Linked DNA regions of Oreochromis niloticus. Each later gene encodes a partner of the first gene's protein in a complex. Links are inferred from orthologs where the notes say so. Each region holds a gene or a part of one and is shown on either strand. Other genes may lie near its edges. The genes, in order: prkaa2 and prkab1a.

What was found.
Region 2: the proteins of prkaa2 (region 1) and prkab1a are in contact, whole or in part, in a crystal structure (PDB 8BIK), measured with the Homo sapiens proteins. The link is inferred for Oreochromis niloticus from reciprocal best matches to the Homo sapiens genes PRKAA2 and PRKAB1. Residues at the interface, in NP_006243.2 of Homo sapiens: Gly9, Val11, Lys12, Ile13, Thr21, Lys29, Lys31, Asn48, Arg49, Arg53, Asp56, Val58, Ile61, Lys62, Ile65, Gln66, Lys69, Val82, Ile83, Ser84, Thr85, Pro86, Thr87, Asp88, Phe89, Phe90, Met134, Met164, Ser165, Asp166; in NP_006244.2 of Homo sapiens: Pro79, Thr80, Val81, Arg83, Thr106, Ser108, Asn111, Val113, Ile115, Gln154, Val155, Asp159, Phe160, Glu161, Val162, Phe163, Ala165, Leu166, Asp169, Ser170, Lys172, Cys173, Pro186, Tyr187, His188, Gln189, Glu190, Pro191, Tyr192, Ala202.

What each region holds. Positions count from the first base shown.
Region 1 is NC_031986.2:38,370,260-38,386,408, forward strand, and holds the start of prkaa2 (5'-AMP-activated protein kinase catalytic subunit alpha-2), read left to right. Parts: upstream 1-10,246; 5' UTR 10,247-10,320; coding exon 10,321-10,420; intron 10,421-11,627; coding exon 11,628-11,769; intron 11,770-13,635; coding exon 13,636-13,729; intron 13,730-15,446; coding exon 15,447-15,591; intron 15,592-16,149. Other genes in the region: plpp3 (phospholipid phosphatase 3), read right to left, coding at 8,207-8,345. UniProt on the Homo sapiens protein: Catalytic subunit of AMP-activated protein kinase (AMPK), an energy sensor protein kinase that plays a key role in regulating cellular energy metabolism.
Region 2 is NC_031972.2:28,443,639-28,459,543, forward strand, and holds the start of prkab1a (5'-AMP-activated protein kinase subunit beta-1a), read left to right. Parts: upstream 1-9,387; 5' UTR 9,388-9,516; intron 9,517-10,863; 5' UTR 10,864-10,917; coding exon 10,918-11,067; intron 11,068-11,193; coding exon 11,194-11,363; intron 11,364-11,627; coding exon 11,628-11,721; intron 11,722-12,287; coding exon 12,288-12,402; intron 12,403-12,634; coding exon 12,635-12,768; intron 12,769-12,955; coding exon 12,956-13,024; intron 13,025-15,577; coding exon 15,578-15,655; 3' UTR 15,656-15,905. Other genes in the region: phf24 (PHD finger protein 24), read left to right, coding at 1-71, 1,283-1,379. UniProt on the Homo sapiens protein: Non-catalytic subunit of AMP-activated protein kinase (AMPK), an energy sensor protein kinase that plays a key role in regulating cellular energy metabolism.

The DNA.
Region 1 (16,149 bases):
GTCTGCACTAATGGAGGATTTCCTCCTCCTGTCTCTCAATACGCAATATGTGACCCGTTCTAAGACGGAGTGGGAACAAGGACAATTCAGAGGAGGGTTAGAAAGGGCCGGGTCTATAGTGTCTATAGTGTCTATAGTGGGTTGTGACTCTATAGACTGAACAGTCAATCAATCAAACTGTTTAGTCGCTTCTTCTCTGATTTTTCTCACCTCTATTTTAGCAGATCAGATAGCAGCTCACTTCCGTAGCTGAAATCTGAATGTCGCACCAATTATTGCAACATGCCAAGTACAACATGCAGTCTCTAAATATGTGGTTAGATTTACAGTGGATACTGTGATAACAAATGTTGGACAATGTAAGCAATATGTGACATTTTGAGAGAAAACAGGTTAAAATGTTTTCTTTTCTGTTAAACTAAGTGGAACTTTTTAAAAAACTATAAACAACATGATCTTTGCCCGTGTGGACATGTCAAAGCATTCATATTTTTCAGGCTATTGAAGAAACTCTTAATACTTTTATAATTCTGATTTGTAAATACCAAACAACATAATCTGCATTTGTAAAATGAAGTTTTAAAGTGCCCTACATTGCTAAAGAGAAGTATGGAGAGATATTATCTTGTGGTTATTTGATATGTGTGTGACTGAGAAGGAGTGTCTTTCTTTATGAGCGTCCTTTAGTCCGGTATTGTTGATGAATGAATGCTCTCATCCAGCTGCAAGTGACATTTCGATTACAGAGTGTGCATGTGCACTCTAAATGGGAATCGTGTGTTTTGTGTGTCAGTAGTGAGACTGTGTTTGTAACACACACAGGCACATTTTCTATTAAAACAGTGGTACATAGTGTATTTTTAACTGTTTCTATTAATTTATTTATTAGTAATTCCACACAGCAAGAAGGTCCTGAGTTCAATTCCACCATCAGGCCGGGGTCTTTCTGTGTGGAGTTTGCATGTTCTCCCCGTGTTTGCGTGGGTTCCCTCCGGGCACTCCGGCTTCCTCCCACCGTCCAAAGACATGCAGTTTGAGGGGATAGGTTAATTGGATAATCCAAATTGTCACTAGGTGTGAATGTGTGAGTGAATGTGAGCGTGAATGGTTGTCTGTCCCTGTGTGTTGGCCCTGCGACAGACTGGCGACCTGTCCAGGGTGTACCCCGCCTCTCGCCCTATGACAGCTGGGATAGGCTCCAGCGCCCCCCGCGACCCTGGAAAGGATAAGCGGAAGCGAATGGATGGATGGATGGATAGTAATTCCAGTCTCAATCTTAAGCTAAGTGTTTACAGAGGACACATATTCATTATCATTTATACTGTCACCCCTGAGGTTTTAAAAATGGCATGCCAAGCAGATGCCTTGGATGTTTTGAAATTTGTCACACATCAAACACTATACAGTTAGGCAAGCCCACCCAGTTAGTCCTATCTTAAGGTCACTAAAGCCATGAGCAAGAGTATGTGAGGCTTTCCACATATTTAGAGATAGTGTGCATACATTCAAGACAGATCCCGGAAGAGCAAAGGGTCATAGGTGAGGGATGTGGCATAACTCTAGGATTATACTATAGCCTACAGGATCCAAATGTCACTGTGACGCTGCGTATTGTATCTTTGAGAGTGTGCGGTTGTGTGTGTGGCTATGTGGGTGTGAAAGTGGATTACTGTGGTTTCACTGGCGACTTCAGCCAACTTCTTTCTGAAACAATTTTAAGCTGTCGACCACAAAGGGCTTTAAAAATGTCCTCGTAATCCAAATAAACAAACTTGGCTCCATATAAACCACCCATGCTTTTACCATACACATAATCACTGTTTAGGAAACATACATTTATAAACGCGTGCAAAAACATGCACTGATACAGATGTTTGGCTCGAGATATTAGTTTCTTTGTTTCCACAGGTTGCTGATGTGTCTCACACATGTACAAAGCTCACAATTACACAAACACAGACGCACACATAGATACACAGGAGTGGCTGAGGTCAGCAGAGTGGTGCACAGAGTGAATCCCTTTTTCCCCCCCTGTGTGAATGCTGTAGCTACCGGGGGGCCGCTGGCTGAAGCATGTGCTTACTCAGAGAGATTTTATTCACAGGAATAAATGCCTTTTTACACACAGGCATCTGTTGGGACACACTCTAGGGTCTTTTACCAGCAGGCACCTGTGTGGGCAACTTCTGAGTGCTGCTGCTGGCCCTGTGTTGCTTTTGGCTTATAAGTGCATTTGAAGAGATGAAGAGAAATTCACCTTTGGTCCACATCAGAAACTAGGGAAGGCAAGAGGATATTCATAATTTGTTTTAAAAAGATCAGTTAAAAGTTATGGAGACTTATTTAATGCTTGGCTGCACTCTCAGTAAAAAAGACAAATGCACAGCTGCTCCAATGAAGAGAAACATGAGCAGCGTCCAGGGGCCAGATCACGTTATCTGGCTGGTTGGTTAGATGGCTGGCTAGGCGTTTCTCAACGATTGCCATAATGGCATTATTACCCCTTGGGACAAAAGCCTGGCTGTGGAGAGGAGGGCTATGGATTCTCTGAAACCTGATGCTTTCATCTCTGGGTAATGCTCCCCTGAACTTAACGCAAGACTGTCTTCTCATTCCAGCTCACTTCAGCATATACCCCAGACCATTTTTTATAACTGTGTACACAAGATGTTAAACTGCTGCTACAGTACAAATGTAAAGCATGATGTTTTCTAGTGTTACATGGATCCTCTTCAGCCAGGGGGCTTCTCTGTATGTAAACAGGATAGAGCTCAGTGGCTGCAGCTTAGATAAGGCCTGTGCCATTAAAGATGCTGAGCTGATTACTACACAGCTCTGAGCAGATAAGCACTACAGCCCACAATCCAGTCAACAATACAGCTAGAAGCAGCAACAGCCATAAACCACTGATAGATAATCAAGCGACCTTGAGTATCCAGTAAGAAGCTTCTTACACCCTCTCATCTCTCCCTCATTCACTTATTACCCCTCCCTTCTATTTCATCCTCCTTCTGTCTGCCACTGGTCTGTTGGTCCCTGTTAACGAAACAAAGAGCGCTGAGATGCATCAAAAGGGGTATTGTTCTCTCCGAAACAGAGAAATCCCCCTGACCCCCAAACCCCCATCCCTGGATGCACACAGCACACACACACACACAAATACAGAAGACTGTATATGCAGTAAGAGAAAGTGACAGACAGAGGGGCCTGTGTAACAGCAGGAAGCAAGCCCAAGAAAGGATAGTGTGGGGGGGAAAGAGATTTAATGAGGCCCATAACTTCAGATCATCTGCCGCTTGCGCTCTAATTTACATTAAAGGGCTAGTGCCATTGTTGTTCATCACATGTTGATTAATAGAAAAACACTGGGTTAAATCAAAAAAGTAACTGTGGAAAAAGTAGAAAGTCTAAGAGTTAATATTTTCATGGGTATAATAGGCAAACAGATGTTTGTTGCCCACATGCAGAATTCTGTGAAATATACATTTACATTTCTTGGTGAAAGCTAAAACACAAGTTTAAACACATGCAAAATTGACTGCTAACAAAAGCTTATTGTAAGGTCCTGCCCAGTAATCCAAAATGACTTAAATAAGCAGTTTGAAAAGTGTTTATATGAGAGGGATATAATCATAGATGAGACATGAGAATGAGAGGCATTACTACACTATTGTTGTCAAAGCGTAAACTACAAGCTGGTGTCTTTGTTTTATTGTGCAATCTGTGTGCCAGGATGGCGACAGTATAAAAAAAAGGTAAAGGAGATGAATGTGTCTGGTTTGTATAGCAGTGTGAACAGCTACAGGCAAATTGGTCAAGCTTATGCCTTCAGCTTGCCCACGGGAGCCACATGGGACACATGTCTATAAATCGAGCCACACATGCCTCACACATGCTACCCACAGAGTGAATACAGAATGCTTCACCCTTCAGGCTATATGGTCCATTTAATGACAGCTCTGGGTGCTCTCTCTCTTACTCCCGAATCCCAAAGGACACACATGCACACGCTCACACCCACGCACCTCTAATCACAGCCCTGCTAAGGCACATACCCCAGGGGTTTGGTGGTTAACTCTTGCACCAGCAGAAACCAGCCGCATGTCACAATGACAGTCGGGAAATGCTGCAGACCTGTCTGGCATTGATGCAACCGGTGCTCTTCATCTCAACACGCACGAAAAAAAACATAGATCTTCTCAAAAATGTGCAATTATATTAGCATCTTATCTAGGAGAGATAGTATCCCTATGGCTTCTGTTATCAGGGACATCTGCTGATCTTTATCCTCTGCCAGAGGACACTCATCACCTTCTTAAGAGCCATAACCTCACCTTGTCCCGAAGCCGCCAACATAAACACTCATCACAGGCTGGCCACAGATAACATTTAGATATCATAACGGCAAAAGTATAGTCGAGTAATCAAGCTATGTTGTGTTGTGATGTGCAAAGTGTTCTCACAATAAACACTCAATCTGATCACTGTCAAAACTGAATCCTGAGACATATTCTTCTGTGCATGTCTATTAAGCGTCTGCTGTGGTTGACACATGAGTGTAACTAATGTCACACAGAGAGCATTGCAGACATTGATCATATGTGAGTCTATTTTCTTTCTGACCTTTCACCTAATGTTTAAACAGATCCCAATAAATCCCAGCCAAATATATTTCAAAGAACATGTTCATGGCTCTCACCTCTGAAAGACTTGTGCAGAATCCCTGAGAATATTTACCCTTGGATTAAGGTCAGCATCTTTGGATTGGAGCCTGTGTTTCAGTTTCTCTTTGATGGATTCACATGCTGCTTCAATATAGTTTTCTAACAGACACAGACTGTATAATCTATGCATATCTATATTCTTCTAATATTATTTTGTTCATTATAGATTTTTCCCTTATTATTCTGGGACAATTATGAAGACAGAAGACTGGCTCCGGTAGAGAAGGAACAGGGGGAAGGAATGGAGATAGATGTGGAAATGGACTAGGAGAAAAAAAAAAGAGTCAGGATTTCATTTCACAACCACACCCACCTCCGACCGACACTACCTTTCCGTTTCCCACCCTTTCCTGAGCTCCAATATACACACACACTCTATATGCCCCCTGGTTCACTTACTCCCAAAATTGCACCAGATGTCCCATCCAGAGTCTTTGGGCACAGAGGTACAGCCAGATGAAGAATTTGTGAAATTCTCGAAAATATTTGTAGAGCGGCTCAGGATTGAAGTGGCTGAGGCCTGGAGAGGTGGAGGTTAAACCTCTCTGACTTTAATGAGAGGCTGTGTGACTGACTGCTGTAATGTTATAGCAGCTGATGGGAACGCAGGAGTCGAATACAGAAGGATTAACGCTCCGGGGCCAGTTATGAAGCTGATTCCTCGAGGCCAAAAGGTTACGCTCTTCTTGGCTACCTGTCTGTGATTTGTGGAAAAGCAGACCACTGAACACCTGACTGTATCAGAGCTCCAAATTTTGCAATAAACACATAATTAAATGTTTTAAAACATTATATATTTTTTTGCCTCCTAGATCATAATAAGGAGATAGATCATGATCCTTTAAAAGAAGCATATATAGAGTCAATGAAGCCAGTCCCGGACAATCCATGTTTATGTTTTACAAAAAGACCACTCCATCCCAAACCAGTTCTGCAGAAGCAAACACATAATGTATAATCCCCTTTGCATTGTGTAAAACTTAATCATGGTTTAAGTGAGACTACTTTTGGATGCTTGGGTTCCAGAGGGCTCTAGTCTGTGTCTCGTTGCAGTGTTCTCACAATAAACATTTTTTTTTTTTCAAACAGCCAAGAGAAGACTATTGGGCAGTGAGTCGCCAAAAGGGAATACGAAATTCTGCGGTCGAGTTTGTGTATTTATAGTGAGTGTATACTGTTTGTGTGCACGCTCCTTATAGCGTTGCTAAATCAACTCGACTGCTCTGTAGGAGTGGAACCTGATCCAGAGTGAAATCAGCAGATGATGGTCGCGCTCAGCTGCCAAAACTGTATGCCGTAACCCCGGTCTTGGTAGTTGAGTGCTGGAGAGAATGTGAGTATGCTTTTTCAATGCCTTTCTAATCTTGCTGTGCTTGTGCATTATCATTTTTGTTTAGCAAAACCAACTGGGATGGGTTCTTCATTAAACATGTAAACATGTTTTCTTTTGTCCTTGTGTGCAGCTATAGATGGCCTCAGATGTCTTTTATGCAGACACTCATTATCTGCGCCTAAGGGTGTGTCAGTTGGGCACATTAACATCCGTTAGGAAGATGTAACTGCAGAGACTCTGCGTGTAGAGCCCAGCTGGCAGAATAGGAACTAATTAAAGGTAATGAGATATTTATCTATTTCCTAGTTTTAGTAGTGTACACTACTTTTTAGCCATAAACACGCTCAGAACAAAAGCCACCAACCATTAAGCATTCCGCTGAGCTCTTCGACAACACACCCGCATTCCTCCTTCCTCATTCAGGATGCCCTGATAACCCTCCCTTTCTACTGATCTCTTCTCCCTCTCTTTTAACCCCCTCCCCAGTCACCCCTCGCACCAACCCGCAACTCCCCCCAAACCACTGAAGTGGGCCAACCAATCATCACTGAGCAGCCAGATTGTGTTTAGCATAACAAAGGAGAATCTTTGTAACCATTTGTTACTGTGTTCTTACATACATTGTGTGAGTTTACAGGCATACATGCGTGTCTGTGAGTGTGTGTGGGTGTCCTAACAAGGCAATGGAGAACTGTCTGTAGAGCTTTAACCAATAAAGGAAGTTGGTTTGTGCAGGAAATTCAGTCCACATGTGATCAAAGCTCATCTACAGTTATATGAACGCAGATGAAACAGTGTATCTCTGTCTGGGGTTCTTTAATAAGAAAACTAGTATAAACCCAATGGAAAACTTTGTCAGCGAGCTTTGCTTCTACCTCACAGCACTTATGTGGAGTTAATGTGCACCATTTGTAACATACTGGATGATACAATCCAGTTCCTGTGTGGTAGTGTTGCATACTTCATTGGTACTTTACTAGTTCCTTTATATTGCACTATTGGTGTGTCTCCCACCTGCTCCTCTAAAGCCCGGTCAGCCACTGGTCCCACTTTTCGATCCCTCACTCAAATTGGAGAGGCATTCCCCTACCACAACACATGCTTAAGCAATTATTCCACGCATTCCCCTGGACAGAGAGGGAGAAAGAGAGCCAGAAAGAAAGAAAGAAAGTAATTTGAAGTGAAGAGATCAGGGGCAGCTGGCCAGGGATTGGCAAGATTCTGGGAGTGAATGTGTAGAAGTTAAGCAGAACTCCCATAATCCTTTTCCAAAAAAGAGAAAGGGGAGATGGGGGGAATGAAAATAGTGTGAAAAGAAGGAGGGGGGGGGGCACTGGCACTCAACACTAAAAGGACTGGGCTACAGTGACAACAGCCAAAAACAAACCAGCAAAGCAACACACACACACAGACACACATACACAAAGGCAGCACACTGAATCTGCATGGGATGCCCACTGAATAACCCACTGAATAACATGTTCATCTGATTTGGGGTCAGATGATCATGGTTATCAGAGAACAGACTGGGGGAAGTGGTGGGTGTTGTCTGGTTATTTTTAAGGGCAGGTTCGAACACTTGAAAATATTTATGCCCCGGGCATGTTGACAAGGAGCACTAGGACCAACTGATCAGTTACAGTGACACTCCATGGACTTTGAAATGATCAGTATATTATCTGGTGACAGTTCTCTCCGATGAGAAGTCAGTCAGCTGTCTTGATAACAACAACAGTTTTCTCTTTTTCTCAGTTTACAAACTGATTGTGATTCTGGGTTGAATTAAAGAAAATTAAAAGTGCGAACTCCTGAAATGTTGTTTGATTTTTTTATTTTATTTTTTTGTTCGCCACTTCCACTGCCCGGGGGTGTTGCGTTGGAACTGGATGATAAGGGGATGTTGCAGCTTAAGTTGTTTTGCAGTTACAGATAACGGGCAACTTTTAAAATGATAATACTCTTATTGGCAAACTTGAGAAAAGGCGGGCACTGTTTATCTATTCTAAAGAGGGCTTTTATTGTGAGTGCAATGTGCAGAAGTTTCTGTCTTCAGTTTTTTGTGCATGTACTCTACAACAGCTGATGTGAGATACGCAGTTTAAATGGTAACAGAGAGGAAAGCATCGTGTAAACGTATCTGTGAACTTACCAAGTAGAAGGCAGAAGACATCGAGCACTATTAGCACCTTCTTCTTACTGTTGTCAACACCATTGTTGTTATTTAACGTAGAGGTTCCTCCGTTCCTTGTCTCTTGAGCCATTGCTTTCTCATACATGTAATTTTGCATTTGATGAGTCCCCGTTTCAGTTCAAAATCCCACACTGCACGGTCTGTGAAGAAACTCTGTCAGGCTCTCAAGTCCTTGGAAGAAATGTCATGCAAAGCAACGGGAAACAAACTTCCCAACTCGCAGCTCTCTCGGAGTGTCTGATCTGTTTATGACTCGCTCTCTCGTATTTCACTTTTACAAAATAATTAAAAGTCAGATGAGTAGTCGGCTAAATGGAGAACGGACCCGCGGCACGAACTTAGTTTAAAAAAAATTTGCCTGCACTGGTACTGAATGGAAAGCCCGCTCCTCTTTATCTGTCTTGTTTCAAAGACTTGGAGTGAGACTTGCGTTGCGCATCGACAGCCGCTCTTGTTATATCAATCCTTCTTCTCCTCCTCCTCCCCCCGCTCTCTTAGTTCCTACAGCAGCCCTCCTCCTCTCGTCTCCATCCCTGCTTGAAAAACTTGGAAGAGTGGAGCCCAGCAGTGGACAGACGGAAAAACTACTCCTAGCGGTTACTCACGGTAACAGGCGCGAAACAACCGAAGCGCTTTTGAGTTGAGACTATTAAAAATCTTTGTTCTTGGACAGACAAAATAAAGAGAATATGTTCCAGTATATAGTGCTAGAGTTTTTTTTGTTGTTGTAATTTTCGACAAAGAATTTATTTTAAAAGATAAAAAAATATATAATATTGTAACAATTAAAGTTCAATTGTTAATTAAAAGATTGATATTTGTTTTTCATGTGCAAAATGTGTCGAAACTTTATATATATTTGTCCAGTACAGAGACAAAGTCGGGAAGTGTGTAATTCGTGATTTTAATCTTTTTTAACTTCAGGAAATTTTTGTTTCCAGACGATTTTTTATATGTTTAATTTAAAAAAAAACTTATAATATAACATAATGTAATATAATATGTTGGTGAGCGAACACTATTTGTTGTCCAATTTGAGAAGCTCGAGCCTTGTGTTATTTTGTGTATTTTCATCGTATTCCCGTTTCCTCTTTTTTCACATTGTTGTTTTGTCCTAGATTCCTTTCGATGTGGTTTTTGTCCGGGGAAATGGCTATATAAACAAACATTGCTTGCTTGTTGCGTATTGAACATACGCAGAACATAGCAGCAGAACGAAATCCGAAACTCATACCAGGTATTGATGAATCATGCGTATACTGCCATCTAGTGGTGAAATCCGAACAGCTCAACTTTGTCCTTTTTTCTTTCTTTCTTTCTTTTTTAAGTTTTCTAAAATTGTCATGGCTACCTATTTTCTTTAACCAGGTTATTAAAATCTAATACGTAATTTGTGAAACGACGATATGCACACACCAGCGTTAGATATGTAAATGTAAAGACTGGGTAGCGTTACTTTTCAGTCCCTTACTTGAATTAAGGCAATAATGTACGGGATCTTCCAGGGTCAGTTTTGTGCATAATATGCAAGTACTGGTCTTTTATTGCAGTCTGTAAGATTCTTGACAACAGAAATAATGACGCTTGTGTTACTGCACCAGAGTGCATTTATGAATAATGAAGAAAAAAAAATCAATTTACTTAAAACAACAGATACCCATACTAATAATCACTCACGAAATTTAAGAAATTAAATATATATACGATTTTATAAATATTGATAGTCTATATTTATTGCAGGACTGGTTTAATAACGGTCTATACGCAAACGTTACATACCTTACACACCCATGTAGCAGACAGGTGTTACTGTGTTTAGACCGTGAGGGTTGGTATTTGACTGGGCTACTAAACTCAACATAACACCCCGTCGGTCGCTCCGTGCAAGGTAGGTGGGAGAGCGCGCCTGGTTCTTGGAGGGATAATTCGCGTGCGTGCGCGCGTTTTCCGCCGTTGGTGATTCTTCACTGTGAAGTGCCCCGCCCCCTCCTCCCCGCCCCCGTGCGCTGCACAGGCCAGGCAGGCAGTGCTCCCACCTCCCCGAGCGATCCAAGCCGTCGGTAACGGAGAAGATGGCAGAGAGGCAACAACAGAAACACGAAGGCAGGGTAAAGATCGGCCATTACATCCTCGGCGACACGCTCGGAGTGGGGACATTCGGCAAAGTGAAGAGTTAAGTCCTGTTTCTGTGTCATGCCAGGCTTCATGTGTACGTTTGTGTCTTCAGTTGGAGTAGTTAATGTCAAGTAGTCGCTGTGCCCCCCTCCCCTCCCATCTCTTTAACGCTCCGCGTTCAACTTGCTGGTGGTCAGTGAAGCAGTTGGCGTAGCTGAGCGGTTTAACCACGGCAACAGACTGGATTTTAAACGTACTGTAGTCTGAGAATCCGACCGCTTCAAAGTCAAATTCTTTCACCGAAGCCCCCTTCAGTAGCTGCTGTTATCAGCTATGGGAGGTGATAAAACCTGGATGCACGGAGATGCACAGTCACACTCGCATTATTATGGTATAACGTTAAGTAATAAGGACTGTGCGGTGGTGGCTGTCCTTTGCCCTGTCTGGCGACAAAGGACGTCTGAAGCTCACCGTTTGACCCACCGTGGGAACCTAACGTTGAACTGACATTAATGTTTGCAAGCTAGTCCGATGTGTTATTCTCTGCTAGCCGGTGGTAGCTTGTTAAGTGCTTGTCAAGTCGGGCAAACCCTAGACAATCTTAAAGCTTCAAAAGGATGCATATAACAGATTATTATTAGGGTTGCCTTCGCTAGTTCTCTGACACTCAGCATGACCTTGTGAGCTTTAACTCCATGCTCACCCCGCCTGTTTCTTGTGTGTGCTGCTAAAGCATTTGAAACCATGGCTATTTCTGAACATCATTATTAAGGAAAATGATTTTGCTCACACTCCCAAACCACTAGGAGTGTGAAAATCTGTGTCAAGTCATGTGTGAATGAATACAAAATGACTGTATGTGTATATGTAATGCTTGCTCGTTTCAGGTTACTGCTTGTGTGTTAGTTGTGGAGCAGTTCATGCCCCAGTTCGTATCTGATTCTGAGTTTCGTGTGCAGTGTTTGGCAGCTGCAATAACAGCTTGGTTTCAGAGCCTCCAGCAGGCAGATAGCTCCAACACTATAAACAAACGCATGGAAAGAAAATAGGGGTTACAAAAGAGAGCAAAAGCTCAATATAACAAACACAGTTCATTCACTACTTCGTGCGAGCTTCCTACGCAACAGGACTCCAAATCAAAGTGTAACCCTTTTAATCCACACCAAGCTGCTTATGTAGTAGGTTATGTGATTTATTTATTTTTTATTAATTTTTTTAGCCTCTGTGGTCTGTCTCTTTCATGTCTGCATTCTGTTGTTTTTAGTTGGTGAGCATCAGTTGACAGGCCATAAAGTGGCTGTGAAGATCCTGAACAGACAGAAGATCCGTAGTCTCGATGTTGTGGGGAAGATCAAACGAGAGATCCAGAATCTTAAGCTGTTCAGACACCCACACATCATCAAGCTGTAAGTGGAGAAAGACGACACATCCGTCTGTCAGATTGAAGACTCTCAGTGAAGACTGACAGGCTTTGCAGAGAGATAACTGGGCTCTCTTTTATTATTGCTTGTTGTAACGTGGGTTCTTTGCTGTGTGTTGTGGCATGCTTTGCTTGTTCACGTGTTTTCTAGAGCTGTACTCTACTGAGCATGCCCACAAGGCTCACAGGAGGTAAAACACACAAACATACCAATGCACGCACACAAGCTTTGAGCTAGATAAAGAAATGTGCTCTGGCTAGGACAAATCTCCAGTTAAGATGGTGGATATTGTCTAAATCCCTCTCTCCTCATGGGTCTTTCCGTGTCTTTGTTGTCCTTCTTTCTCTTTCCTTCTATCTCCCTGGCCTCTTTCACCTTGTTAGTCCATGTCTGTCCGTCCCTCTCAACATTGTTTGTGATATTTTTAGTCTAGGGTTAGGGTTAGTCCACTGTAAAACTCTAAGCAATGGCAGATATGCGAGTTGTCAGGTCATAAGCTGGAGTGCTGTGGAAGTCAGTGTCAGAGACATATACAATAATAAACACATGCACACTGTGTACACTTCTTGTACAGACATGGAAGCAGTTTAACATACCGACCATGACTATAAAAGCTGCCACACTCTCAACTGTTAGAAGAAAAGAAGTTATTTGTCTTAATGTTTCTCCTCCCATAGTCCCTGTGGTGTTAGGCTTCACCCAGCTTGACAGGATTGAAATAGATTGTGATAAAGTTTATATTCTACCACCGGCAACCATTCATGAAATTGTGCCTGCAATTTAACATACCTGACCTTTATGAAAGCAACCCAATATCACAGCCTTGCCGTGCCTTTGTTTCTGTGTGCTAATGCTGTGTATTGTTTATGTAGACGATATAGGTTTAGACATTCGGGTTCACTCATCTGTGTCCTTGTTTTGAAAGAAAAGCACATTTGTTCTTATTTCCAGTAAATTAATCAGAAATGTCATGAATGACAAATATGACTGACTGATGATTTTTAATAGCAACAATCACTCCTGTGTCCTGTTGCACAAGTTACAGAAATGATCATGAGAAGAAACCTCTCCAAATATGATAGCACATCTGATAACTGCTGTGTTGATTAAAGAAACAATTCATTTGGTTAGCTGAGTTACTGGAACATCAACTCTTGCCTGCTCGAGAATTAAAAGTGACTTTTATTTTGAAAGCCATCTTAATAGGGAAATGAAAGCTATTCCTTGTGGGAAATTGTGAAAACTGAAGATGCCATAGAAAGGTGTGTCCTACCCCCTACATAAAACCACAAAAACCTGAACCTGAATAGAAAGAGGAATGAGAGGCCTGCAACACAGAGCAAGGAAACAAATGCATCAGACACTCTATTTTCAGAAACAGACACCTCATGGGTCCTAAACTGGCAGCTTCGCTAATTGGTAACCACAAAATACTATTTCTGGGATCAGCAGTGAAGAAGCAGCTCCCGGGGCCTCCCTTGTAGGCAGAGTTGCAAAGAAAAAGCCATATATCCTTCTGCTAATGTCTTTTGCCCATCATAATCTTTTCCTGATATACTCAAAAAACTGGACAGAGGTGGCTATACGCCTCTCTAGCGATTCAATTAAAAACATGTAATTTTTAATTAATGATTTCATTACTGACTTTGTCAGGAAAAAGAGTTTTAATTATTTTAATGTTATTTCCATTAAAAATTAATCTACCTAAAAAAGGGACATGTCTAAGTGATCACACTTTTAATTTTTGAGAATAAAAGGTGAAAATAGAAGATAGAAGGTGAAATCAACTAATGAATGTATTAAAAGTTCATTGAAATACAACAGTTTGGGGTTTTTTGTTGTTGTTGTCAGGTACCAGGTCATAAGCACACCGACAGATTTTTTCATGGTCATGGAGTATGTGTCGGGAGGCGAGCTGTTTGATTACATCTGCAAGAATGGACGGGTAAGATGACATTCTTCTATTATCTTGCTGGTAGATTTCAGCCTGGCTGAGTACAGTGGTCAATGAATCATCCGAAATTCTTTTATTATCCAGTGGCATGGTTAGCTGACTAAACAGAAGCCTGACTGGTTAAACAGTTCTGACAGTTTAAAAGCAATTGTTGCATATATTTGATAAACATATCAAGCAAAAATCTGATGATGGTTTGTTTCCTGGGCTTGTGCAGTAATCCAGGTAGACTTGCTCTTAAAAATAGCTGAGTGTATTTATACTTAACTTTGTGTTGACTGTAGTTTTTCACATTATTTAAATCCACATCCTTCACATTATATATATTATAAACTATATGGTCTTGCTTTAGCTTTAAATATAAGCTTCTTACTACTGTCATTTTGAGTAGGTATCTATATTTTAATTAACTTAAAATGCACATTTAAACTATGTTCCTAAACATGTGCTTCTGTTTTCAAGTGCGACTTACAACGTCTCTCCTTGTTTTGTCATGTATACATTACATCATATTACATTATAATAGTGGATGCTCGTGTTAAACATGGGCAAACTTTCAAAAACTTAGATGAAGTCAGTTTATGTGAAAGTAATTCCTATGAGCCAAAGTTTCATGCTTTAGATTTGTCTAAACATTTAATTTCAGGCAGTTTTTTCTGCCCTTAGCTCTGTGTGGTGTCAATGAAAGCAAATATCTCTAGAGCACAAAGCTCTACCTGTGAGCATAAAAAACATTTCTTAGATTTTCTGTTCACGAGGGGCAACCAATCAGAAGAAAGTTGGTTTAAAATGAGCGTAAAGATGGCTCAGACATCATATTAACTGATAGGTTCCACAGGCCTAGTATGACATAAATAAGGTTTATTTTGAACTGTGAGTCACGAAAAGCTGCCCTAGGAAAGTCTAGTAAAGCCATTCATAGTTTTCTATTATGTTTATAAACTTCACCTTTTGAAATTTAAGTAGTGTGACTCTTAATGGACTGCATGGTTATGCATTAGTCCCACACAGCGCCTACACACACCTTTGCAGAACGTTGCATGTCTTACCTGTTTATGTCGCCAGGGTCAGAAACATCCACAATATGCACTACTCCTACTCTTGTACATGTTTGTGCTATTGTTGGTCCTTTAGTCCTGCTTCTGCCAAGGAGAGCGAGCCAAAGTCACTGATTATAGTCAAGTGAAACTAGTGTTAAAAGCAATGAAACTGTCCACTGTCCACTGTTTTTTAATCTTTTGTTCTTTTTTGTGCTTCTCCCCCTCTCTCTCTTCATGAACTCTGTTGTCACTACCTTTTGTGTTGAAGCCCATTTTCAACTAGTCCGTAGGCAGCGTTCTACAGTTTAGAAAACCAGAGTATTTAAAATCACTAGCTTTTTACCATTAGCATCCACGAAGCCAGCTATTCTCTCGGGTCATTAATGGCACTTAAAAGAGATAAATGGGCTAATGATTATTGATCTTAAATTTAATTACCTGCGTAGAAAACCCAGTCTGAAATGTTTTCCATTTGTAATAAATCAGTAAATGAATGTTTTCCATAATAACTCTAAATGTTAGTGCTTTTTTTGCACTGACTCAACAAAATCTGCTAGAAATGTTTTTAAAGTTGGGTCCTGTGACAGGCTGACCCAGTTGCACACTTGTAGATCAGAGGGAGCATCATCACTCAGATCAGTCATGTCTATTCATTTTGTGTCTTTCAGGTGGAGGACACTGAAGCACGCCGCCTCTTCCAGCAGATTATCTCAGCTGTAGACTACTGTCACCGGCACATGGTGGTCCACAGAGACCTCAAACCTGAGAATGTCCTATTGGATGCCAATAAGAATGCAAAGATAGCAGACTTTGGTAAGAAAACAGGCTCGACAATAGAATTCTTTTGCAAATTCATGGTAAGAGGACACATAAAATACTGAGGTTTGTTTAGGGTGACAGAATAAAATTACATAGTTTAAATAAAGCCAAGTGACAGCTGTTTATGATTCAACACATGCAGTAACTTTGTTAACTTGAAGAAAAATGTGAACTCTAATTGTGCACCTTTTAGCTTTATTAAATGATAAGGAATATGTCACTTGAGAATGCCTCTTATCAGTTAAGGCCTTAATTTTTGTAATTTAAGTCAAAATTGCTGATGTAATATGAACATGGAAGAGAGAAATATTTTCAAAAACACACAAGGGCCCTTATGCGCAGCAGGGCGTGTGGGGTGGAGAGACATCCCTTAGCAACGGCAAGGTTTCATATCAAGTCTGGCAGGAAGCCTTGAGGCCCAGTGTCATCTGATAGGGAAGGAATCAAGAGGGGGGGGGGGGGGGGGGGGGGGTGGCAGTGGAGTACAGCAGGAGAAGTGTTTTGGCTGAGAGCAAAAATACTGGCAAGCAGAGCAAGGGAGTGTTAAGGGAC
Region 2 (15,905 bases), on another chromosome or scaffold:
CATGTTGGCCCCATATGTGAGAGCAGTCCAGCCAGCTCTGGCAGTGAAAGGAGCAAGAATGACGACAGCAGGTTTGTTGCTTTTTTTTAAATATTTGTCAGTCTGTGCGTCAAAGTGATCAGTTATTGGAAAGTATATAAAAGATTTTAGTAGATGCCAATTTCTGAAGTTCTTACAGGAAACCTTAAAAGTCTGCAGTAAAATTTTTACAGTACCTAATTCATGCTTCTCACCAGCCTACACATGTCCATTGTGACACTGGTGTGGTACTCATGGTAAAAATCTTTCTTGGGCAGAAATGTAGGAGTAATTTTGAGTGAAACAACTCAGCCCAGAAGGCCGCAGCATGGACAGTGATGTGACCTGCCTACTTCCTGCTGCAAGCTTTGTTTCCAATGCAAATGACTTCAAATTCACTTTCTAAGCTGTTGCCAAGAAGTTGGGGTGAATCCTCTTTGCCATATCATGACTTTTGAGACCTCTGACATTTTTTGATTTTTTTTTTTTTTTAAATAATTGCAGCCAATTTGCAAGCCGTTCAGGCAGGCAGTGTTTTGGGATGAATACAAAATAGTGGAAGTTTCTTAGAGGTCTAACTGGTTTTATATTAAATACAGCAATAACGTCATTTTTATATTTTTTTTTTGCAAAAACATAATGTGTAAGAATGCATTAAATTTAAAATTCCCAAACTAACCTGTGATTTTTTCCATCATTACATCTATCAAGTTGCAATTATTTAAGGACACTTGAGTGTGTGACCATATGCCACAAGGCCCTGAACTGAGGCAGGGGCCTCAGTTCAGCTCCAACCCTGGACCCCTTGGTGTCCCCATGCACTCTTCCCACCTTCCTGTCTGAAAAATCTCCACTGTTCTATCAAATAAAGGCAAAAATGTCCCAGGAAAAAATGTCTTGAAAGGACCATTATCAGCTGGGCATAGCAGCATTGAGAAAATACTACTGTGCAGTTCATGGTCATACAAAGTAAAGTACATACAGTAGGACTGATCAAAAACTATAGATCTTATGGCCACTATAGTGAGGTGCCAGGATGACTCCTATTGTGGTGTGGTGTATTATTTCATGGCATTAATTTGCAGTTACAAAGATGTACAACTGCTGACTCTTTCTGTATAGAAATAAAAAAAAAAAACAAAAAAAACTGCAACACTATCAGCAAACGCGATTAATTTAATTTGTTCAACAATCAAACATTAGTTGTTGTTGTTTTTTTTTTTTTGTTTTTTTTTAACTAAACTTTCTTTTTTTTTTTACACAGGCCAGTGACCTGGGCAGACTTTCTGAGGGAGAGTGGCATCTATATTTTGGCTGCACGGCCTAATAGTTCTGCCATGCACATCAGACTGCCTCTATAGTCCTGGATCCGCTACTGCACTCAGCAGAGGGAGTGAGAGACGGAGGATGTACCCCTATAGTCTACAGTTGAGTGAGGGAGGATAGACATGCTTATACAATGACATGAGGATGGCAAGTGAGAGAACTGGATGAAGCAATGAGGTAGCAGATCAAGCCAGTGACAGAATCTCTCCTCCTCTGCATCACCTCAACACCACAACACTGACAATGCACGCTGACTGACACACCACAGACGCAAGTGACAGCAGCTGTCACAGGTCCCCACTCCAAAACCTGACAGCTTCCAACAAATGTGAAAGCTAGAACAAGTAAGACAACCCACTCACAACCTAATCAGCTGGTGATATTTCTGAAACTTGAAATGATCACGCACAGTCAGATGAGCACCTAGGATGATCACATGAGCCAACCTAGACTCTACAGTTCTACAGCTCCATAAGACACCTGGGTGGGCACATTAGGGTGTTGGGCTTCTACTCTTTCATGTGTTCTTTCCTTTGGGCCCCAAAATGTCCTAATTATAACGCCACGCAACTGAAATGGGATTGTGTTATGCACCATTAAAACTGTTAATCGCGCCACACAGAACATGCAAATTAATTTCTGGTAGTGTTTGATTTGTGGGAGGAGATTAACCACGCAGCTACATTAACGGAACATATACCAAACAACATTGAAAGCTATCTGCATACATTATAAGAGAACTGCTATACATACCAGTATAAATTATCATGCATTAAAAAGATGTATTTATTCCTGTATTCTCTGATGTATCCTGTTTTCTCCATTTCACCCAAGAATCCGTGTTCAAGAAAATGCTAACTGTGAAAGGGGATGTTAAAGCTAACCCTGTAAGTGACATGTATATACTGCCATATAGTGCATTTTGGTATTATTGTCTCAGAGCTGCACTATAACAAGGTGTAAAATGCCACTCCTCGTATTCTAATGTCATTATTTGCACTGTGGGAATGAGATGTAGTTGGACTATTGACATAATCACTGTACTGAAAGACTGAGATCTGCTGGAAATGTTTGTCCTTTGCTAATATGCAGAAGCACTCTTTAAAAACTGCTATGGAAAACAAGATGAAATTATATAATGTAACAGATTACACGATAATTTTAAGGCACGTGAACCTGCCCCTGAATCACTAGAAATCTACTGTAATGAATAGGACATCATGTAGTGTTTATGCCATGTAATGGAGGTTTTATGCTGGGTTCTTTTGAAGTAAATAAAGTATGGTAATTAAATCAAATTGTGTGGTTTGAGGGATAATGTGTTGTAGTGCTGAAATGCTTGCATAGTATTTACCATATTGAGACTCTTTGTTTTCAAAGTATCAGCAAATATAATTAAAACTTTACAGATTTAGGGGTTTTTTTTTTTGTTTTTTTTTTTTCATTTTAAAACTCAAACGATATTAAATGGAATGGGGATAAGACTCAAATCAAAGATCAAATATTAATTGGAAAATTAATAAAAATAAACCTAAAATAAAACTGACCATGTCTGATAGGAAGGTTACAGTAACCGGTGGTATACTGATGAGCATCAATGAATGCACAACATATCAAACCTTGACACAGACTAACTACAGCAACAGAAGACCACACTGGTGCCACTCCTGTCAGCTAACAACTGGAAACTGGCTACAATTTGCACAGTCTCGCTTAAACTGGACAATAGAATATTGGAAAAGATGTCACTTTTGAGTCTTGATTTCTGTTGCCACATTTGGATGGAAGAATTCTTGGTATAAAAACATGAAACCAGGGATTTGTTCTGCCTTTCATCAATTGTTCAGGATGCTTCTGGTAGTGTAATGGAGTGGGGTATTCTTTAAGCGCACATTGTGCCCCTTAATACCAACTGAGTATTGTTTAAAGCAGGGGTAGGCAACTCCAGGCCTCGAGTGCTGGTTTTAAGATATCACTCTTTGTCAACACATCTCAATCAAATGATTAGTTCATTAACAGGCCTCTGGAGAACTTCAAGACATGTTGGGGAGGTAATTTAGCCATTTGAATCAGCTGTGTTGGATCAAGGACACATCTAAAACCTGCAGGACGCCGCCACTCGAGGCCTGGAGTTGCCTACCCCTGGTTTAAAGAATACTGCCTGCCTGTCCCTTTATAACAGTCTACCCTTCTTCTGATGGACATTTCTAGCAGGATAACAAGCCATATTACAAAGGTCTATTCATCTCAGACTTGGTTTCTTGAAAATGACTGAGTTTATTGTACTCAAATGGCCTCCAGTTACCAGATCTCAATCCAATCCTTACCCAGAAGGAACACAGACCTCAACCACACAATGTACAAACTGTCTTGGCTAAACACTACAAAAATGTGAACTTTCTGACCAGAGGCAAAAACTAAAAATCTGGACCAAATTTACACAAACATTAAAGAAGCATAGAAGGCTTTGCCCTCTGTCTGTTGGATCACATTTCACTGGCAGTGACTCCATAATATAGAACTCTAATCTGTAGAATCAGATCAGCTGTTAAAACTGTTCAGGTCTGGAGTGAGGAGATCGCTTCACTACTGCAGAACTGTTTTGAAAGTGCAGCTTGAAACAGCATCAGGAAATGAGTATAAACTCTATGACAAGCCTATTTCTCATTTTGAAATGGCCCTTTACTGGCACTGTTAAACACACCACATGCAAATCAAACTCAAAATTCTGTATTCTTCATAAGCCTCCAAATCATCCAAGGATTATCTAAAAAGGGGAAAAACTACTACTGCTACTACTTTACCAATGTTGTACTTATGTTTGATTTGGAACTGGTAGCTTTGTCATTCTTTTAGTATAATGTAATGTGTGATGTGACTTCTGGGATTTATCTGAAACCAGACATTTAATGACACAATGTTTGATCAACTCTTAGGGCCAGTGTAACTTATGCTAGCTTGTTGCATTTGCTAAAACAAAACAAAACAAACAAATCTGCATGCATCTGACAGCATCCATTGCTGTTGGTGAGAAATGAGACTGCTTTTGTTTACTTCTGTGTGAAATTGAATAGCCATTGTTGTGCAACGGTAGAATGAAAAGCTTGACAAGCGTAACATAGCAATAGAGTAGCACTGAATTTACACTTGTTTAAAATTCACTTATCAGACTCTGTTTGATTGCCTCATGCACTCTTTTTCCAAGCAGCTGGAGCAGACAGCACGACGGGATAGAATTGCTGCAACATCAACAAAGCTATGACTGCGAAGATTACACATTTCATGGAGTATAAAGAGGCTTTCCTTGAAAACCTCAACCATAAAATCTCAATATACAGCATGGAGGTCAAGAAGGTAGAACATTCAGAAGTGGCCCTTCGTGGAGCAGTTTGAAATGAAGTGTTGCCTTTAAGTGTATGACCACTGGAACTTTCACCTACACACAATTAAAATTAAAACAACACTCTCTCATACCTACAAGAGGTTATACCATCTTTGTGCTAAGCGACTTTCCATATATTGATTGAAAAGAGAGTACAATTTGCCTCAGAAAGTAAAGGTGGTAAAAATAGAGAAGGGAAAATGTACAGTAAAATAGTTGTCAGACCCTATAGCTAAGATAAGATGGCCTTTATTAGTCCCACAGGTGGGAAATTTGTTAAAACTAAGAAAAACAACCAGAACTAGCACAAAACGGTAGAACATGGTTGCAGAGTCTAATTACTAATACGTTAGTTATAAAAATTACTAGAAGAAAAAAGATAAGAAGGAAAGAAACTCAGAATGAGCAGAGCTGCTGTAACAGGCTGCCGCACACGGGGGGCGCCGGAAGTAGCTCCCCTGTTGCCCTCAGGCTTTTTACTTTTATCTGTTAGTAATGGAACAGAGTCCAGCAGTTATATCTACCCAGATGTTAAACTGAAGGTCAGACTAACTGTTCAAACTAACTGTAGGTGACAAACACACAAGCAGTAGAAAGAGAGAAAAGGCAAAATGGAGGGAGAGAGAGCGAGCGTGGGAGTGAAATCATTTGGATGAGGATGTTATGTAATTGTTTCATAACAGATTCAATGATGATCTTCTTGACCAGGCTAATTGCTACATTAAATGCTGAGTCAAATGTGAAACTTGAGCTCTGAATTAATTCAAGGTTATCCCGCCCAAATAGCCTCACAAATTAACGTGCTAATGAGAAAGACTGTTTGAAGCCCTCTTGTGCGGACTTTGCATCATTTGGGATATTCAGCTTATGACTAAGTACTTTTTTTTTCTGCTGAAACAAAGGCTCCGAAAAATTAAGATTGTTGAAAAGTTGTTTGAAAAGAGCTGAAAGCAAAGCAAAAATTCTGACTTCACTTTCTTTAAAGCATGAAACAGCAACTCTAAGCAGTGAATGGTATAAAAATATCTATTTCTCCTTTAATCAGTGTCATATTGGGCAGAAGCAGAAGAAGCATAAATAAATTAAAGTGTGCATTGTAGTGGTCTGCCCTGCTGCCTGTTCAGGGACTATCTTGCTTTTCACCCATTGTCAGTCAAGTTAAACTATTCTTAGACCAAAACAGATGATGACAGGATGCATGGCCAATTTACCAATCAATTAATCCAAGAATGTAAAACATGCAAACTAAGCTATTACATCTTAAAATCCAAACTGTTCTGTTTTATAGGGGGATGACTATTTTTCTATTTTCCATTTTTGTTATAGTTTCAATCAATAAAAATAACCAGTAATCCAATTCTGTCTACAGTAGATAAACCATGGCATGTTCCTAAGTGCATTATGAAAAAAAAAGTCAGTGAATTACATGTGAAGGGCTCTGTTGTCATAAACATGGAAACTATCGTCACTTCCAAATTTTGCTTCCATAAATAAATAAATACATTTTGATGGTGCATTAATTTGTTCCTAACTGCCTCCAGCAACTGCACAGTTGACTTTTGTTTGATTTCAGTGTCCCCAGTAACCTCTGTACTGTATTTATGATCTGTTTTTTTTAAAAGTACATCTTCAACAGAAAACAAATAATGTTGTTGTAACAGAGCTCTACCTTTCAGTTAATGATAGTGAGATGATATGGCATCATGTTTGAATGTTAGCACTTTAATAAAAGTAGTCTTTGCTTACTAGTCCATAAGTGTGCCAAATCGGTGTTATGCACAGATGTGAGCCTGTAAGAGTATCAAAGAAACAACCGTTTTTTGGGGTTTTTTTTCTTTTGAGTCTCTCCATGTGTGATCCAGAGGAGCTCTGTACAAAGGTTATCTGGCGTGTCCTACAGGGAGTGTAACAGGGCCAGCTGCTGGCAGAGGTGCTGTGATGCGGATGGCTGCTGTTGTGTGATGGCTTCACTCAGCAGGGATGAGTAATGGTAAACAAGTGTGGCAGTGCGGTCATAGCTCTGGGGAAGCAGAGCCAGAGGAGAGCTGCAGTAAAATGTCAGCGCACAGTTTCTTCATGGAGTTCACAGACTGGTTTGAGTGCCAGTGCAGGATTTCTAAATAGGCAGTGAGTTCCAGTTTGGCAACTATTAGGTTTAATTTTTCTGGTGGTAATGAGTGTCAGTGGCAATGCCTTATCGTAGAGTTTGATTTGAAGGTCATCTGCATACGTGGGAATACAGACACAAGACACTCCAGTCTCACTGAAAAACAAGACCTCAGTGGGGATACTTGCCAACTCCTTTTCAACACATCAAAATCCATACCATCCAACTCTATTTCTCCAATGCCATTTTTAGATCATCCTCCGCATGTAAGCAAATAATTCACATCCCACTTCCACCAGCACAGCCAACTTTTTCCTTGGAGCCAACTCAGTCTTTGCAACTGACACGAGCCAATTACAGTCGTCTGGTTCCAGGAAGTACAGCCATTGCTCTTTTTTCATTTTTCTTTTCTTTTTTTCCTCTTGAGCTAATTTGATTCAATGTTGAAGTACTCAGTAAAAGTGTTGCATTTGTCCACTGCACAAAAATATGCATTTAAAATTTTGGCTCATGCTTTTTTTTTGTTTTGTTTCGGCATCTCTAAAAAATAAAGCTGAGGAAAAACCAACAAAAGCTGGCTATAACAAGGCATAAGCTGTGAAGGGAAAAATTAAATCTCTGTAATTGAACACCCCATGTGGATCGACATCTGTGTGATGCAGTCAAGTGTGGCTGGCCATGGATGTAATTTGGGGCTGTGCCTGCTGTAACATACACAGATAACAGGGCCTTGTGAAAATGTAAATTCTTCTCTTTTAAAACGGTCCAGTGAAATCCCACCTCCCCTCAGCTCAAACATCTCTACTGGACATTAAAAAAAAACCAGAGCCTTAGCTGCTCATTATGTGCCAAAAGGCTGCACAGCTTTCTCTGCCTCCTGTGTCTCGAAGATGCTGTTGTGCCATTGGGGGGTGGACATCGTTAACTCTTTTAAATCTCTGTCAAACTTTAAGAAAAATGAGAGTTGATAAAGTTAGGGAATGTTGGTGAGGGGACAAACAAACATCAAAGGATTTTTTTAAGCTTTTGCTGCAGTTTTGTGTGACTGCTAACAGGAGATACTGTAACAGAAATGTACCCCATGAGGTGCAATAACAACAGACAGGGAGCGAACACTAATAGCAAAAAGCACTGCATTTGCTGTTAAATGTTCCACTTGTATTGCAGAAGTAACAGAACATAAAAATGTGTAGTTAATAAAAATGATGACAATCCATTTGCTGTGTTACAAGTAGCAACACAGTGTGCTGTTACTGTATGACTTATAATAAATGCATTTTACTAAAGCTAAATCTGAATACTTTTTGATGTTATTAATTGCACCTTCTCTTTCCCTGCTTTTTCTTTTATTACCAGGCACACAGACGCCACAGTACTGCTCAGGGTGCTTGCCACCACAGCAGCCTAATGAGTTTTCACACTGTCCAACAGTTAGGTCGGGCTGCCTTACAAGGACTGGTGATTTGCTGCTTCGTCTCTATCTCTTTATCTCTACAGGGTGTTGATATTTTAATCATCACAGAAGCATGGCTTTGAATTCAAACAATTATTTAGGTGACCGTATTAGGCATTCTCACAGCTGGATCTGATTCCACATATTACATTTGTGAAATGTGTTAAAGGCAATTATACCAAGGAACAAATTCATAATAAATATCAGGGATAGGATAAAGCTACTGTGTTTTTGTTATACCAGCAGTCTAATTTTTGCCCAAAGCACTGTCACTGGCTGCAAGACATCATTAGCCTAACTGGTGGTATGAAACACAATGTATAAGCATATCATATTTAGACCTACTACAATATTCTATCAGTATCTGCATCTATATTTATGTAGACCATGGATTGGAGATTATGACACTGACAAAAAGACAGGAGGCAAAGCTGGAGTTGGCAGGGTTGAAGACGATAAGATTTTCATTTGGAATGACCAGAATGGAAAGGATTAGAAATGAGTACACCTCAGGAGTAGTCTGTGTTTGGATCTGTGCACAGGAGGGATATGAGGATATAATAGGCAAATGATGTTAAATATGCACCTGACAAGCCAGCGGAAAAGAGGAAGACCACAGAGAAGATTCATGGATTTAGTGAAGGTGACTATGCAGAGGGTTGTTGTATCAAAGGATGCCAGAGATAGGTCAAGTTGGAGGCAGGTAGTCTGCGGATCATCAAAGCTGAAAAAAGTGTTTTTCTATGGATTTGAAGGATTGCTATGTGCATTTTAAATATTACAAATGTTGCACAAGGATGGCAGCAAACTGCATTAAAGAAAAAAAAAAGTCTCATCCTTCTATTGGCTCATTAAACACAACTCTATATCCATTGTACTGACCCACATTGCAGGCTACTTGACTCACTCTTCCATCTAGTGTTGAGTACGTGACATTACGTCTGTCATTATAGAGAATTACATTATAAAAGGTTATAATAGTCGAACATTAAACCAAAAGATTTATTATGGATAAGAGCAGTTTATGAGACAATAAACGACGGTAGTAGTGATGGGTAATATTTTGCTTTTCACGAGGTCAGGGTGCATTAATATTTTGCATTTTGATGATGTGCGCATGCGCAACAGGGGCCGGGTTCTGCTAGAAGGATCAAATGTTTTTGTTTTCGTGTGGGATGGAAGGTAGCTGACAGGTCGATATCGATATCTACGACGGCAAACGTTTCTCAGGTAAACAAAACAACCCTGCGTTTCTTGTCGGTGTTTGCGTTCATTAGTTGGTGTCACCTTTTAAGTCGAAGCAGGTAGCAGGTTTGGGCTACATATGCTAGTAGGTTACCCAATGTTAGCTTTAGTAACGGTGTATTTCATAGCTTCTTTGGTAGATATCTCTTATAGCCTGGTGTTTATTTGTTATAATTTAGAGTATGAGGCCACAGGAAGTGGGAATGGAGCTTAGACGTTAAGATGAGCTAACATAACCGCAGGCATGTCACAGCCTTTGATGCTAGTATGTAAACACAGTGTTGATAAGAGAAAAACACGCTGCGCATACATGTACACACCTGTTTGACATCGTTTCCATAAATATCATCATATAACCAAAAATAGCCAAGTTATTCTAAGGAAACTGAAATGAGAAGGTTTTCATGTTGCACGGTACTAGAGTATTCCAGTAACACTCCCATTCAGTGGTATTTCCAAATACAGTTTCATACTTTTCCTAAAGTAAAGTAAACTGGCAGATATCATAACAGTAAATCAGTAAAACATCATTTGACTTTAAAACCTCCAGTGTCACTTGTGGGAGTGTTTCAGGTAGAGTTTTATTTCATTGTATAACATTATGAGGTCAATAATAAGTAATCCATTACTGTAAATATGGTTTCTGCTGTTCTTTTAAAAAGGTTGTCTTACCTTTACTTGTGTGTACTGATACAGCAGGAAGTGCAGATTCCATGATATTGTTCTATAAGTAAAAGAACAACAAAGTGTGTTCAGAGTGTTGGCTAGAAAATTGTTTTTTATTCTGTAATTGTATTTTTATATTGTAAATAACTGAGTGTAAGCTAAAAATGTAAGGAACAGCATTATATTTATAGGCCTATAAATGAACTGCAGTAATGTAAATGTATTCTAGAGACAATGGTATACTCAATCAAATACACTGATCCTTTAGGAATTAGGTATCATGCTGAAATACGTGTTTTATTAGGATCACATTTAAACTAACATTACAAGACAGTTGAACTTTGATAATGCAAGTGTTCAGGTGGGACACTGAAACATATACAAGATATCTGGTATTAATGTCTCAGGGATTGTTTTGGAGTCAATAAAGGAACTCCTAGTTGTTCAGTATGATACACTGAGAAATGGAAAAGTTGTAGTCTGCCCACATGATTCAGCTTGTTCTACTGCAGAAGTCACTATAAATAATGTTGGTACCTAAAAATGTCTGTTTTGAGATTTGCAGGCCTAAAAAGCAACATTTTTAACAGTAAGCCTTTAGCAGTTATAAATAAATCTGTAAGGTGTTATGTAGTCTCTTCTGAGTTTACGGCTTTCTTTACACAGCTGAATCAACTCTACTTGCAGTGACCTTGTAACAGCCCGCAAGAAGACAAAGCCATGGGGAATACAAGCAGTGAGAGGGCTGCAATGGGCCACGGGGAGAAGGCTCAGCGGAGGGACAGCCGAGGTATTAAAGAGGGCGAGAGGCCAAAAATCCTCATGGATAGCCCGGAGGATGCTGATATTTTTCACGGAGAGGACATAAAGGTAAATTGCGCTGCTCTCTCAGAGGCGCATATCAGGTAGAATTTATAGCCTTCTTGGCCCTGTAGATTTCTTCAAACTCTAATCCTTGTTGATAAACAATAGTCTTGTGTATGATATGCATTTCAGGCACCTTTAGAGAAAGAGGAGTTCCTTGCTTGGCAGCAAGACTTAGAATCAGATGACAAAGCACCAACTCTGGAACGACCGACAGTCTTTCGCTGGAAAGGAGATGGAAAGGAGGTCTACCTCTCTGGATCCTTCAACAACTGGGCCAACAAAATTCCCCTTATTAGAAGGTGAGAGCATGTTATAAATCTGAACATGTTTTTCAGGTAGACCTTGAATTTCTGGCTGTTTATCTTTTGAGATTTAAACTAGAGTTTTAACAGATTTCTTTTACAATATTTCTATTTGCATATGAGAAAGGTTTAGTAGAACTAGCCAAGGAGGCAAATCTATATATTATAGGTACATGTGATTTCTTCTTCTTTTTTAAATGGCTGGTTTAAATTACCTGTGTGCCAAATGTTTTCTTTTGTTTTGTTTGTGATCTATCAAAGTCAGAACACCTTTGTGGCAATTGTCGATCTACCTGAGGGGGAGCATCAGTACAAATTTTACGTGGATGGCCAGTGGACCCACGACCCAGCTGAGGTAAGCGGTTACTCTCGCAGTCATTTATAAGCGTATTTTACTTTTCTTACCTAGACCTCAACACAAAATCTGCAGCAGTTTCAGTTTTTAAAGGGATTGCAGCTCTGCCATTCCTGTAAAGTCTGGGTAGACAAAAGCATATATTCACTGATGCAGTATTATTATCATTGCATTATGAGTAATAACTTGTGGGTGTATTAAGGCCACTAGTGTAGGTTAAGATGAGCTGGCTTCATGACTGACTGCAGGCACTTATCTGAGTCACCTTATCTGATGTCATGCTTTAACAATAAACATCTTTTTTTCTCTCTTCAGAAATATAGTAACAAGTGTATAAAATATGTTAGCACACACATATGGTAAACAGGACAAATGGTGCAGTGGAGGGGCGTGACTAGAGGTAGAGTAGTCATGAGTGGACATTAGTTTAAGAGGCTCAAGTGGTTTGTTTCACATCATGATGCTTGTTAAAGCAAACAGTGGCCTGCTATTATATAAATTATGTCTTTCTGGTCTATACTTTTGAGCTTTATTTGTGAGTTTTATTGTCTCCTGTTTCCTAACAGCCTGTTGTAACCAGTCAGCTAGGCACAGTCAACAATATCATTCAGGTAAAGAAGACTGACTTTGAGGTTTTTGATGCGCTAATGGTGGATTCGCAGAAATGCTCTGACATGTCAGGTGAGTGCCGACAGCCACTTTTAATCTGTGCTTTTTTTACATTTACTGATCCAGACTACATGTATGGAAAGCAGGGGTATAAAGTGTTCAAAAAGAATCTTCATTCATTTTAAAGACCAACATTTTTGTTCCTGCCTTTTTTAATGGATGTCAACATTGCTGTTAAAATCTATAGGTTTGAAAATAATTTAATGTTCTTGTCATACTGTTCCCCCTTTTTTTCCCCCCTCAGACCTTTCTAGCTCTCCTCCTGGGCCATATCATCAGGATGCTTATGTCCCTAAACAGGAAGAGAAGTTCAAATCTCCACCCATTCTTCCACCTCACCTTCTACAGGTCATCCTTAACAAAGACACTGGGATTTCTGTAAGTAGCTGTAATCTGAGATGAATTTGGCTTATTCCCACTTTCCCCTGCCCCCTAAAAATAGAATAGAATAGCCCTTTATTGTCATTGTACACGTACAACAAAATTGTGAAAAAATGCATCCACAAGAATAAATAATACAGATCATTTATTTGAAATGTTGTTATTTTGTTTGTCATTGTTTCAGTGTGACCCTGCACTGCTCCCAGAACCCAACCATGTCATGCTCAACCACCTCTATGCACTTTCCATTAAGGTAAGGTTTCAGGGTGACTTTTAAGATTTTTGTGTTTGATGTTTTTCGGCAGCGTGTGGGAGAACTTGATCAGCTTTGTAAGCATTTTAACAGAAAGTATGCGCTGCTGCTGCTGCTTCTGCTTTTAGCAAGCTTGCATGTTGTTGGCACAGCAGATTGAATCTATGCAATGCCAAAAAGGCTGATAAATGGGACAGAAGAACAGATGAAGGACAGATAATTCTCCTTTCACAGGAAAAACAAACTTGCATTTCAAGATAGCCACAGCAAATGTCTGCATGTAAAAAAAGGAGTGGAAAACAAAACAAACTATGTGTATTTTCCATTTCAGGTAGCGGGTGGTCAGATATTCACTTTTTTCCATTTGGTTTCACCTGTAATGTAGTTAAGTAGTTGTACATGGAGCAGATAAAATGCTAAATACAGAGCTTAAACACATTTTTGAATGACTTTATGTAGGCTGTGCGATATGACCAAAATCTCATATCCCGATATTAAGACATCTATCGTCCGATAACGATATAAATCACAAAAATGTAACATTTTCTGTAAATTCTGTGAATGTCGGGCAGCTCGACTTGCGTGAAGTGTTTCCAGCTGGGCGTCGCGTACCTGGAGTCGAGTGTTTTAACTGATGCATGAAACGATACATTTTTAGACATAAGTTGTAACAGCCGCCGTTTTCTTTGTGAGTATTTATCACACAGCGTGCTGCGGGGAAAAGCCTGTTCGAACGTTTGAGTCTAAGGTTTATTTTTTAGCATCTGACGGCTCTTTTTTGCTTCTCATCCGTAAATACTCTGCATCTTTCACGTGATTCAGTTTATTTTGAAAAGTCTCAACAGGATCTTGAGCTTTATTGTGAAAGGTTTATGTGGAAAATAAACAAGCAGACATGCGGTGGTTTTACCGTCGTTGTTGCTAACGACAACGCATAAAAACAAGCGCTTCTCCGTCTGTAGTGTGGTTATATTAAACATAAGAGAAAGAGAGAACTTTAGGAAATTAATATAGCCACTACAGTGACCATCAAAATAATGAAAAAATATTGCCGTAAACAGTTTATTTTGCGACACCACGAAACAAACGATAGCGTAAAATGAAACGATAGACGTTTTTATATCGTCATCCGATATATATCGTTATATCGAACAGCCCTAACTTTATGTTCACCAATTTGACCTGTGAGAAAAACTTTCATTTTGGGGACAATCTGAAAGGCTCTATTTAAACTTAATCTTAATGACTGTTGATACATTAGTAATGCTGCTAAGTGACAATCTTGAATATGCATCACATTATTTCATTATGTCTTATGTCTGGTTGAGTAATCTGATTAAAAAATACTTCTGCTCAGACGGTTCAATTCTAGAAATTGCAGTGCTTTTAATAGCTTAAAACTTAACAACTAACAAATAAACCCTTTCATTGTATTCATGCTATATTGAAATCAGATGCAACAATAAATAGTCATAAGTACAGCAATGTCAAACAAAAATAAGGCATAATATAAAATAGCCTTTCCTCGGTCTTCTAGGAAGTCTTTGTTACGTTAGGAGGCAAAAAAAAGTTCTGACAGTATTGTTTCTCCTGGATGATGTAGTGTGTTTATGTGTGTGTTTTGTGCACCTCCATGTGTGTCTGTGTGTTTAAATGTGCTAGTGAATGAGTTACTGTGTGTGTCTGTAACCTTTAAAGGAGCATGTGGTGGCTGCAATGAAGAAAAGTGAGCATATCACCATTCTCAGAACTGAGGGTTGCTGCCACGTTTCCTACTGCACAAACAGACACTCTGATGGTGTAGATGTTAATAATTAATGTTAATAGTTAATGTTTAGGATAATTCAGTGTCCAGCCTAACAGTCCCAGGTCAGTGACTCAGAGTGTTACTGGCCGGTGGAAAGAAAAAAGGAAAAAAAGCAAGCTTTTATTTTTATAAATTTCTTTTAAATATATATTTACTATATACATCTGACAAATTGTTGTCAGAAGAGGTGATTTGATGAAGGAGTCCCACCATGGGCACCCATTCAAGTTTGTGAATGTGATAACTCGAGAAGAAGGTGACGCATCACCTTCAAATTGATACCATAAGTGTATTTATTAAAAGTCTCGGACGAGTTCGAATCTTATTGACGTCAACTTAAAGGTCAGAGGTCATGTTTTCTGAAAGTCCTGTTAATACGAGAAACTTCAGAACAAGGTGACGTAGGATTTTGAAATCAATACCATAGATCTGTCTACCAGGAGGCTGGTGGTTGCCAGTATTTTCTTTGTCTTTATGTACATTTATATGAGAGTCTGAACAGACTTGGGTGTGAACTGCAATTTGACTGGTAGGGGGAGGCATGCAACCATGATGCTGCAATTCTGGTTTCATGTGTGTCCTAAAAAAGCCACAGCCTTACCGATTGCAGCTTAACCATACTGGCTTATAGCATGGTGGAACTGTACATGGTAAGACTGATGCTACTGTTTCCATACTAGTTGAAAGCATGCATTGTGTGAGGTTTTAAGATGACTTCTCCTCTGTGTTGTATCTTTCTGTCACAGGACGGAGTGATGGTACTCAGTGCAACACATCGCTATAAGAAGAAATACGTCACCACCTTGCTTTATAAGCCCATCTGATGAAGCATTCTTTTCTATATTTGGAGCTGTTGTTAACTGTACACTGAGTGTACAAAATGTTAGCTACACATTTTTTTTTCCCCAAAAATCCAGTATATATTCCTTCCAGGTTTCACCAGTTAGATCCATTCTGACCAAAAGAAGCAGCCCTGAATAAGCCGAGGGAACAAATTAAGTTTGTAAAATGTTGACTTGATTTCCAGAAAAAATTTGGACTGAGGGTTATAGTAATTGCTTTACAGTAATGCAC